2 linked regions of the Arabidopsis thaliana genome follow. The protein of the gene in region 1 interacts with the protein of each later gene in a pairwise test. Each region holds a gene or a part of one and is shown on either strand. Other genes may lie near its edges.

Region 1 (6,021 bases):
GTTTAATGCTTGCTTACACGCCTTAATGAGTTCTGTGATTCCCCAATAGAAGTATAGGTGTTTGGCTAAGTTAAATACCTACATAACATTTGAACAAATCATCTTTCTCTACCGTCTAGGATAAATTAAAAATATATTCAAAATCACAACCTTACTATTAGGCATAAATCTAACTAGTGGAAGTTCCTAATTGGACATTGTCTGATATGTGTTATCTGATAACAGGTGGTTACGGAAAAGTTAGTCGAGTTTGACTTGTTGAAACATTCTCACAAGCCATCGTTCACTCTTAGTGGCGGAAACAAGCGCAAACTATCCGTTGCTATTGCAATGATTGGAGATCCTCCTATTGTCATCCTCGATGAACCATCTACAGGTATAACCCAATCAAGATTTTGGTTGACTTGCCTGACCAGTTTGACTTTAAAATCACTAACGAAGACTTCATCTCTGTTCTACACTAGTTCTTAGCTACTGGGTAAAGTTTTTTGTGTTTTTGTTTTTAATGCTTCAGGTATGGATCCTGTTGCCAAAAGATTCATGTGGGATGTGATATCCCGCTTGTCGACAAGGAGTGGAAAGACAGCGGTCATTCTGACTACTCATAGCATGAATGAAGCTCAAGCACTTTGCACTAGGATCGGGATCATGGTATTTTCTTAACTCATTTTGAACTCCTTAGGGCGTTAGTTCCTTAAATCTTTCCACCTCACAGAACCATACTCCTCAAACTACAGGTAGGAGGCCGCCTAAGATGCATAGGTAGTCCACAACACTTAAAGACACGCTACGGAAACCACCTAGAGTTAGAGGTACCTTTTTACAATGGTGTTTTGTTTCAATGGTAGGAAGGATCATTTCTCAAAGCTTGTGCGTAATGTTGGCTGTCTTACCAATTAGGTCAAACCCAATGAAGTCAGCAATGTGGAATTGGAGAACTTTTGCCAAATAATTCAGCAGTGGCTGTTTAACGTTCCTACGCAGCCTAGAAGTTTACTGGGTGATCTCGAAGTTTGTATAGGTGTCTCTGACTCGATTACTCCTGATACGGCTTCAGCATCAGAAATCAGTTTGTCACCAGAAATGGTACAGAGGATTGCCAAGTTTCTTGGTAATGAGCAGAGAGTGAGTACTCTGGTACCTCCATTGCCTGAGGAAGATGTGCGATTCGATGACCAGTTATCAGAGCAGCTGTTTCGAGATGGTAGGAGCACACATGTCACATACTTTTTTAGATTTGCCTTATTTCACGACTTGTAGCATAAATATATGTTTTATCCGTTTGATGCTGAACAGGTGGTATTCCACTTCCAATATTTGCCGAGTGGTGGCTAACCAAAGAAAAGTTCTCAGCATTGGATTCTTTCATACAATCTTCGTTTCCCGGTGCAACATTCAAAAGCTGCAATGGACTGAGTATCAAGTACCAGGTAAATTATTAAACACAAAATCTATTGGCTCTAAGATTACTCTTGGACTAGTGCTCCATATTTGTCTCTCTTGGGTTGCAGTTGCCATTTGGAGAAGGAGGATTGTCACTTGCGGATGCCTTTGGACATCTTGAAAGAAACCGGTAAGACATTCTTCTTTTAACTGTTTCTTCTCCATGATCCACACAACATCAGTCTTTGTAAGTCTGAGGAAAGAAATTTGCTTCATTCTATGGCAGGAATCGGCTGGGAATAGCTGAATACAGTATAAGTCAATCCACACTTGAGACCATATTCAATCATTTTGCAGCTAACTCATAGCCAGTGAAACCATTATTGCGGCTTGTACAACAAAAACCCTTTGTGACCATAGCCCAAAGAGAGATCTGATCACTTATTATAATCTCATCTGCGTACTCAACATAGTTGTAAATATGACATATACATGAGAAACCTGTGGTCTTAATGTCTATATACATGATGCCTCATATTTTATCTTCCATCAACTAAAAATCTGGAAAAAACCCTAATGTGCCGTATGTTCTGGCCTAAATTCGAAATAAGAGAATGCCAATCTTTTACTTCTAGTTCTAGGCCTGCTTTGAGAGTTGAAAGTTGAGAGTTGAGATTTACCAAAATTCAACCATTTTGCAGCTAGTGATACCATTATTAACGCGGCTTACATAACCAAAATCATCCTGACCACAGCCCAAAGTGAGATGTAACTCATCTCATCTACCCAAAATAGTTTTAAATTTCGCAAATACATGAGAAAACGTTCTCTTAGTTAATGGCTATATATATACACACGATGTACCATGTTATGAACACGAGACTTAACCAATACAGCAAAGAATCCGATATTTCTCGGACATATGTTCTGATCTTGCATGTCTTAAAAGAGTACTATATATAGTTATGCAAAACTTCTAAGAATATGAAGAAACTGGTATATTACGAATATCAATCTAGCAATCTAGTTTCATTCAAGTTTTACTCCGAACAACTTAAGCCCTTCATCTTCTTCATCATCACTTTCATCAGTTGCATCTTCGTCTTCTCCTCTGTATCTCTCCACCAACTCCATAAGCTGCTTGCATTTCTTCTTGGTTTTCCCAAGTTCGCAGCTTAATAACTCGTTTTCATTCTTCAAGCATTTGTTTTCGTCGAGTAATGCAGTGTATACGAAAGAGGATGAAGTGGCGGAAGACTGTTGATCCTCATGGTGATGATCAATCCCAATCCGTTGATGACCTTCTTGATTCACCATCGTTGTTGTTGGTACAACCTGGTGATTAGACTTGTTGTGTGACCAATGTTGGCTCTTCCTTCTTCGGATATTGCTCATAAGCTCTCTTTGCCCCTTTCGAAACATCTCATTACTAAATTCCCATCTTATCGTCGTTACTTTTCGAAAACCCTATAATATTTTTGTAACAACACTCATTAATGCCTTTAATTAAGCAAATACACTTAGTAAACTCAAAGAAACACAAATAGTTTAAAATACTGATTGAAACAGTGAAGCATATATACGTACGTAAGTATTGAGCTGGCGAACGAAGCTAGAGAAGTTGCAATGCTTGAAAAGTGTTGGTAACAGATCTCTAGCGAATTCTGCCGGCTGCCACACGACGAAACCAGTTCCGTATTCGTTCCAAGATATAACCCCGTCCGTCGTCGGATCCTCCACCACTTTGTATGTCTTTACCAAGAACGGTGGAGGCGGCTGTAGCTCCGCCGTGGATGTTGAGTTTCCGATCATAAACTCCAATGGCAAACGCTCCTCGTCGTTAACGTTATCGTTACACCGTAAATGTTCACCAGCATCTTCCATATATAAAACGAAAATTATTATTCTTGAAGAAAACAAGTAGTAGAAGATCTCAAACTAGAAAGACGTAACACGACTCCATAGAAAGAGATAGAGACGTTATTTAATTTAATTAGGTGGTTGAGACAATAATAGAAATACTTTAACAAAAGAAAACAATAATAGAAATACTTTGAACAATTTTCAAGGAACGTACGCTTCTAACTATTTACATATTCTATAGAATATGTAACTCTAACACTAACATGCATATAATCATGATGCATACACACACACACGATTGTGTTTGTAAATATATTTTTCTTATATCAAATGAAAATCGATGTTTGATGACAATATGACATGTAATTTTTCAGGTTTGAAACCAACCATCGATAATATTTACGTCGAATCCACTATACGACATAACTCTTTTTTTTCTCAAACACAACGCTCGTCTCTAACATGTATAACTAACGACATTTTGCTTTTAATTTTAGAATGATATTGGATTACTTTACCCCCAAAAAAACTGATATCAACTTAATTTGTATAGTTGATATTTAGTACTGGTCTTAAGTTTTTCAGGGAAACTGCAGTAGTCGTTGCTTTTACCAACCGAGCTATATTGTCAATATAATTTTAGTTGTAACGTGTGTGTTTGATTAGACGTATAGGAAACAAACGAAAAATGATTTTAAAAAAAATATTAATCACGAGGTATATATGTGAATACACATATATTAATGTATGTTGGTAAAATTGGATATTGTGATATGAAGCAACTCGTTTGGACCCCCTTTAGGTGAGGTGGTACTATCAATTTACGAAACGCAAATCATGCATATTATTCATCATGTCTACCTATATTTGTAAGATTTAGTTTTCTCTAATGATTAATCAAGTACTATCATTAGTAAAATCTCTCGAATATATAATATGGATTGCAAAAATATCACATTAATTACCAATCTTTTTTTCTCTATAAAGTACCAGTTAAAATACCACATAGCAGAAGTTATATTCTTAAACAGATCGTTTTCTAAATTTCATGTTAAATTATATTCAAAGTACAAATCTTTTGTAATGGTATTTTTAAAAATGATTATAAACTTGATATTTCATATAGTTAGTTTTGTTGTTTTGTAGGATCATGTAAATTGCTCGTTTTTCAAAATTGATGACTATCTATCTTTTTGACTATACATGCTTTGTCTAATTGTATGTTACTTTCGACACCTTAATTTGTTGATAATATATAAACAAGTGCTTAAAAGAGTATATATAGAAAAAGTAAGGGGGTTCAGTTGATCTGAATGGAAAGTTAAAAAAGTGATCATTCATCACGGTCGAATTTGATCATATATATAAGTTTATGGTAACGTATAACGGTAAAAGCCAGTAAATTTATAGAAGGAATTCCAAATTAAATAATTCTTTAAAATTTCAGTTGAATAAAAGTTCCCAAAGTTAAAATCTTTTTTTTTTTCCAAGACATAATCAAGTAACTTAAGTAAATGTCGGTTTTAGCACAATAATGCAAGAAAGGAAACCTTTAGATCTCTATTGGTCAAAGTAGGGGACAGTGATGTAATTCAAGTCATCGATCTACTGACTACTGGTGTTTGAAGGGGATTACCGACAATGTTCCTATGACGGCGCGTACCTTCCACGCGTCTGTAAAAGAGAGAGACAACTAATAATACAAATCCTAACGCTTAAGCTCTACTATATCGTTTTAACAGTAGTGATCCATATATATGTCCTGTTGAAATTATTTGTTGAACAATAAGATTAAGGGATCACAAAACTACTCCAGCATATACTACTTGGATATGTAGCTCTTGTAAGGCTTAATTTAGATGGTAAGATATAAACATCGAATTTAAGAATAGTCATCAAGAACAGCTTAGGAAACTTCAAATGGCAGATCGAATTTGGATGACAAGTAAGAACACGGTGGGGGGGTTTTTTTTTAACCATAAAGTTATGCTTAACGTTTAGTGATGTGGCTTCCTAACGAATCTATACAACATCAAGTCATCAAATGTAAGTACATTTTGTTGACTAAAACATTGGAAGTGCATGGAATTCAGACACTAGACTAAAGATAAAGATCCTTGCTTTCATTGGGCTGCTCTTTTTTGGTCAGCTTAACTTTTTGACTTAAGAAAAAATAGTCTGTCACCTTCCCTCACCAACTCCTAGTTCATTTCATTTCCACTTCAACCTCTTCAGAACTAAGTAAACTATATAGTCTTCGCATTTAGCTAGTTATGCTTTATAAATTATTAGTACTAACTTTTTGGCGAAGCAATCCGCACACAGATTAGCCCATTTTCCGGTGGGTTTAAGAATCTTCGTCGTGACTAAATATTCAGTACCAAAACAGGCCCATTTATGGCCCAATATAAAAAGCGTCGTCCGTCCACTTAAACTCTTGGCGATCTTTCCCACTTAAAAAAAAAGCGATTGGCTTATCCCTCCGTTGAAAAGACGAAGTAAAATCAGTCAAAACACATCTCCACCGTTCAGTCGCTTCATCACATATATCCAACGGCTGAAAATCATCTAAGCCTGTGGACTTGGAAGCAAAGAGATAATGCTGAGGCGCGTGAGGCACAGTCGCCAACAGAAAATCGGGATGTTTTTTTTTAACTGCAAAGCCAAAGAGACAATTGTATGGTCTCTGGTAAAGGTAAGGCAATCAAAAAAAATATGGCTGCGTCTCCCAAGATAGGCATCGGTATTGCCTCCGTCTCATCGCCTCACCGTGTC
Region 2 (4,668 bases), on another chromosome or scaffold:
GGTAGAAGATTTTGGGCATTTGCAAATATGCCTTTTTCATCTTTGTTTATATATATATTAGGTTTACAAGAAAAGAAAGAAGAAAAGGTATGGCATTTGGAGGTTGAGCATTTGACATGAAAGTTGAAGTAATGGAATCTGAGTAGGATAGTTAGGAAATTGATGTGTCAGATTGGGACCACCTTGTCTTTTTGTTCGTAGACGACATCATGTGTCATGTGCATGTGGAAAGGATTTGTTCCGTTTTTTTTTTTTTTTTTCCTAGAACATAATTAAGGACTATCATTATAAAGTTAAATCGTTCTCTAATTCTTCTTTTTATATCCTAACTAATACTTCATTGAATACATCATTGAACTCTTACCATTAAAAAAATAGTGATGCTTACGTAAATTTCTAAAGTAAAACCGAGAAACAGAAGAAGCCAAACCACTGTTATAAATGGGTTGATGTCTATCACCACAATTGAGATTCTTTATTAATTAGCTATTGCTATACGATTAATATTTAAACTTCAACGAAGGTGCTACGTATAAGATTATTTTAATATAATGAAAAAGATGCGACGTAAGCCGAAATATTTGATATACATTAATATCATCTCGATTCACTAGTACCATCATTCATATCATAATATACTTAACTACGGTTTTGATTGATAATCACTTTACAAAACGGTACAAAACGTTATAAAATATATAATTTTAACAATTACCAATCACAAAAACGTTGCTAAAAATTTTACTCTTAGTTTTTTTTTATAATTTTCTCGTATAGTTTTTTTTACAGCTTTGCATTGTTTCGAAAAAGCTAACAGCTAACAGATTTTAGTTACCATCGGACCCTATAAATTTATTCGTGAAATATCATAAAATTATTTACACCTTTTAAGTTTTTATTGTTTAATCATTTTTCTTTCGGTTTCTTTTTGTTAAATTAAAATAGATAAGTAATGAAAATCAAAAGAAAACCAAAGAAAAGAAAAAACCCAAAGAAAGTTATGTGAGAATATGGGATATTGGAATTGTGAAAATATATATATATATTTTTTTGTAAACTATATTTCTGACGTAAAAGCTAACAGAGAACATAAAAAGCACATGAATATATATGTAAAGAAAACAAGGCGTAATCGTTAAGGCAATAAGCCACAAATGGAGTAACAAATTTAAAGGTTTATGTGAATGTGACCAAATTGCTTCTAAAAGATAACCAACGATAATGATACTAAAATCTGTTACGTCAAAATGTTTTTTTTTCTTTTCATATATGTTTCTCTTTTTAGGTGGTTTGGTAAAAGGAAGAGAAAAAGAAACGATTACGATCATCTTTTATTCCTCACCGTCTCTCTCAATCTCTCATGCAAGCAAATACTGCAAGCCAGAGTAGCACAGACTGTGACACGAACGCCACTATCCCAACGTCACCTTCTCCTGCTCTTTCTCTTGTATTTCACTTTAGTCTCTTCTCTCAACTGTCGTCACCTAGATATTTTTAGATTCTTATTTCTTCACCCAAAACTCTTTTGATTGATCCTCTGAGTAACATTTAACTTTATAAATGTGTTCAAGGGTTTATATTCCACGATCATATATAAAATTATGTTACAAAGTTTCATTACATTAACTAACAGAACTCTATCCAAACATTAATCTTCTCCTTTTACTCAATTTCAACTAACTAACAGTTCATGCATTGAATTTTCAATTGTACTGTATGAATAAAATAGCTTAATAGCACATTAAATTTGACTGATTAAGTTTTCCAACATCAACAGCTGAATAAAAAAAAATATATCCTCAATGCAGACTCATAATTTATTATATAGATTAAAATATGTGGATACAGATAAGCATAACAGAAAATTTGACACCGAAAGTTGTAATGAAAAAAACAATTGTAAATAAATAAATACTTTTGCAAAAATAATAATAAAAATAGTTAAAATAAATAAAATAAAAAGCCACTTACACCAATGAAAAACCAAACCATCACCACCTTTAAGTTGTCTTTATAAAGACGCATGACTCTAACTTCTAGTCCTCCCTCTTCTTCTCCTCTCTTTCTCTACTCCAAGTTTTCACAATGACATTCTTCATCGAAGACACTAGTCTCATCATCAGCCACGTTCTCTACAAAACGGCACTTATCATCACCGTTTTACGATGGATCTTTGCATGGATCCTCCGTTACCGCTCAAGATCCTCCTCATCATCATCATCTCAATCCTCCTCTTCTCCTTCTATTTCATCACAAACCATCAAAGAAAGCCTAGCCGTGTCCGCTTTCCGCGACGCGGTGGAGAGATCTCCCGCGGCGATAAACGACATGTGTGCCGTGTGTCTAGGAGATCTTGAAGACGAGGACGAAATCAGAGAGCTTAGGAACTGTACTCACGTGTTTCATCGTGATTGTATTGACCGATGGCTAGATTATGAATGTTGCGGCGGTGATGATGATAACCACCGTACTTGTCCCCTATGTCGAACGCCGTTGCTTCCATCTTTCACTGATTACTCAACCGTTACTCAAACTAGTTGGGCTGTTGAACGACTTCTTTACCTCTTCGGCGACGATCTTCTTCCCTGACTTTTATTTTTCTTTTAGAAAACATTTGATTTCATATTTTTTTTATGAATATTGTAATTGGTAGAGGGGTCGAATAGGAAATATAAGAGTGATTGATCGCAATTATACGAAATCGAATCAATTTGATTTGATTGTATATACAAATGTTAAACTGTATTAATTCTCCTCTTCAGATAAATGTCTAACATTTTTTATTATTATTTCAACATTTTTCATTTATTTATCCTTTCTTAGTTGTCACATTCCGTTTTATTGTTTTCTACTTATCTCTATAGTATTTTTTTAAGTATAATTTTTACGGATGGGTTAAACTATTTTCGGATACATATGATACCCAATTTAATAAAAATATTATTCATAAAAGTTTGGGTGGATCGGATTATATTTGACCCGACTCTTCTATTGTTTTTTTTATCTAAAGTTGGATACAAATATTACCAAAATTAGATCATATCTACTAATTATGTTTCTATATTAAATAATACATATAGTTAGAATATTTGGTAATAATTTAAATCTATGATTCTCTTTTCATCTTTATTTAATTTTTTTTAATTTTTTTGGATAATCGTATAATACATAAAGTAAACAATTTTTTTTCATATATTTTGATTCAAATTTTGAAAACGAACATATATTATCCAATTATTGAAAAAGTATATGTTTAACATCACACATTAGCTAAAATATTTAGAAAATAATTCATAATCACACTGTAAATAAAATCAAAATGAATCCAAATCCGAATGACTAGGGACCTTAACTCAACAAGCATCCAAATTTAAAAATTTCAATATGTGCTAATTCTGTTTTTAGTAAAAATGTTTCATTTCACTGGAAATATAATAATTAATATATTCAAAAGCAATAAAAAATTTATAATATTATAAACATCTGAACATATAAAAAAAACCGAGACAGATGAAATTGCGGAACTAGTTTTTATGGTGGCATGGAAGGACAGAGTTTGAATCAACATTAATAAAAAATTTAAAATATCATTAATTCGCCGCTTCAATACGAGGCAGAATAAAATCAATATTTTTTAAATTATTAAATTTGAACATATTAATAGAAAATAGCACAAAACGGATTATATTGCAAGGATGGACTATATAGCGGGATGAGTTGAATTAACATTAATAAATTTTTAAAATATTATTAATTCATCGCTTCAATATGGATTAAACCCTCATTTTATTATTTTTAACACCACTATTATTAAATATATCGAATCAGCTTGATTTAAATAAAATTATATAGACAAAAATAATCTCGTAGTATACCTTTGCTTAATAATAATTGTAAACTATAAAAATATGAATGTCCTACAAAATTATACTATTTACAAATTTTTATATATAATACATAATCATTAAATATTTAAAATCACTACTTAAAATCTAGTTTTCAGTATAAAATTCAAAATCATTGCAAAGACATATTTCATACAACCATATTTGTGTTAAGATCAAATCATGCAGAAAAAAAAAAATTCATATCCAAAAGCCAAATCAAACTAAATTTTTTATTAGATATTTTTAAGAGAAATTATTTACAGGTAGAGAAAAGATTATCTTTTATTTTGTCGGTTATTCAGAAAAAAGCATTATTGGATAAAACCTGATATATCAAAATTTTTACTGTTTTTACCCATGATAAATGTATTCGTTTTAGAATATTTTTTATTGTCATTACAGGTATTTATATGATTGAGATGCGTTTGAAAATAAAGAGACATTTTGGAGTAAAACCAAGAGAATTAAACTAAAGAGAAGAATTTAGAGTCAGACCATGTTACCAGTGTCGATCGATACCATTTGCGGTCGAACAAAAAGTCTCTAGAATTTAATGTTTTGAAGACTACAAAAAATACCCATAAGTTATCTCTATTTGTAAGAAGCCACCTTTTTTTTTCTTTTTTCTCTTGTCATCAGTTTTTATTTAGAGCTCAAAAGAGCCAATGTTGAGGAAAATTGTTTACATAAGTGACATGAAGCGGTTCAGTACGAACTTTTCGTGCCAAATTGTCTGCTTTAACATTTACATTACGAGAAATTAAATATAAAGAGAAACTTG

What was found. Proteins that work in one complex are often made in the same cells at the same time.
Region 2: the proteins of HSFB3 (region 1) and AT3G43430 interact in a two-hybrid assay, tested with the Arabidopsis thaliana proteins (one large-scale study listed by BioGRID).

What each region holds. Positions count from the first base shown.
Region 1 is NC_003071.7:17,378,969-17,384,989, reverse strand, and holds HSFB3 (heat shock transcription factor B3), read right to left. Parts: upstream 3,344-6,021; 5' UTR 3,268-3,343; coding exon 2,971-3,267; intron 2,851-2,970; coding exon 2,413-2,850; 3' UTR 2,139-2,412; downstream 1-2,138. Other genes in the region: ABCA1 (ATP-binding cassette A1), read left to right, coding at 226-376, 515-651, 738-812, 901-1,204, 1,297-1,430, 1,512-1,573, 1,670-1,751; NTRC (NADPH-dependent thioredoxin reductase C), read left to right, coding at 5,962-6,021. UniProt on the Arabidopsis thaliana protein: Transcriptional regulator that specifically binds DNA sequence 5'-AGAAnnTTCT-3' known as heat shock promoter elements (HSE).
Region 2 is NC_003074.8:15,352,679-15,357,346, reverse strand, and holds AT3G43430 (RING/U-box superfamily protein), read left to right. Parts: upstream 1-1,852; 5' UTR 1,853-2,085; coding exon 2,086-2,589; 3' UTR 2,590-2,812; downstream 2,813-4,668.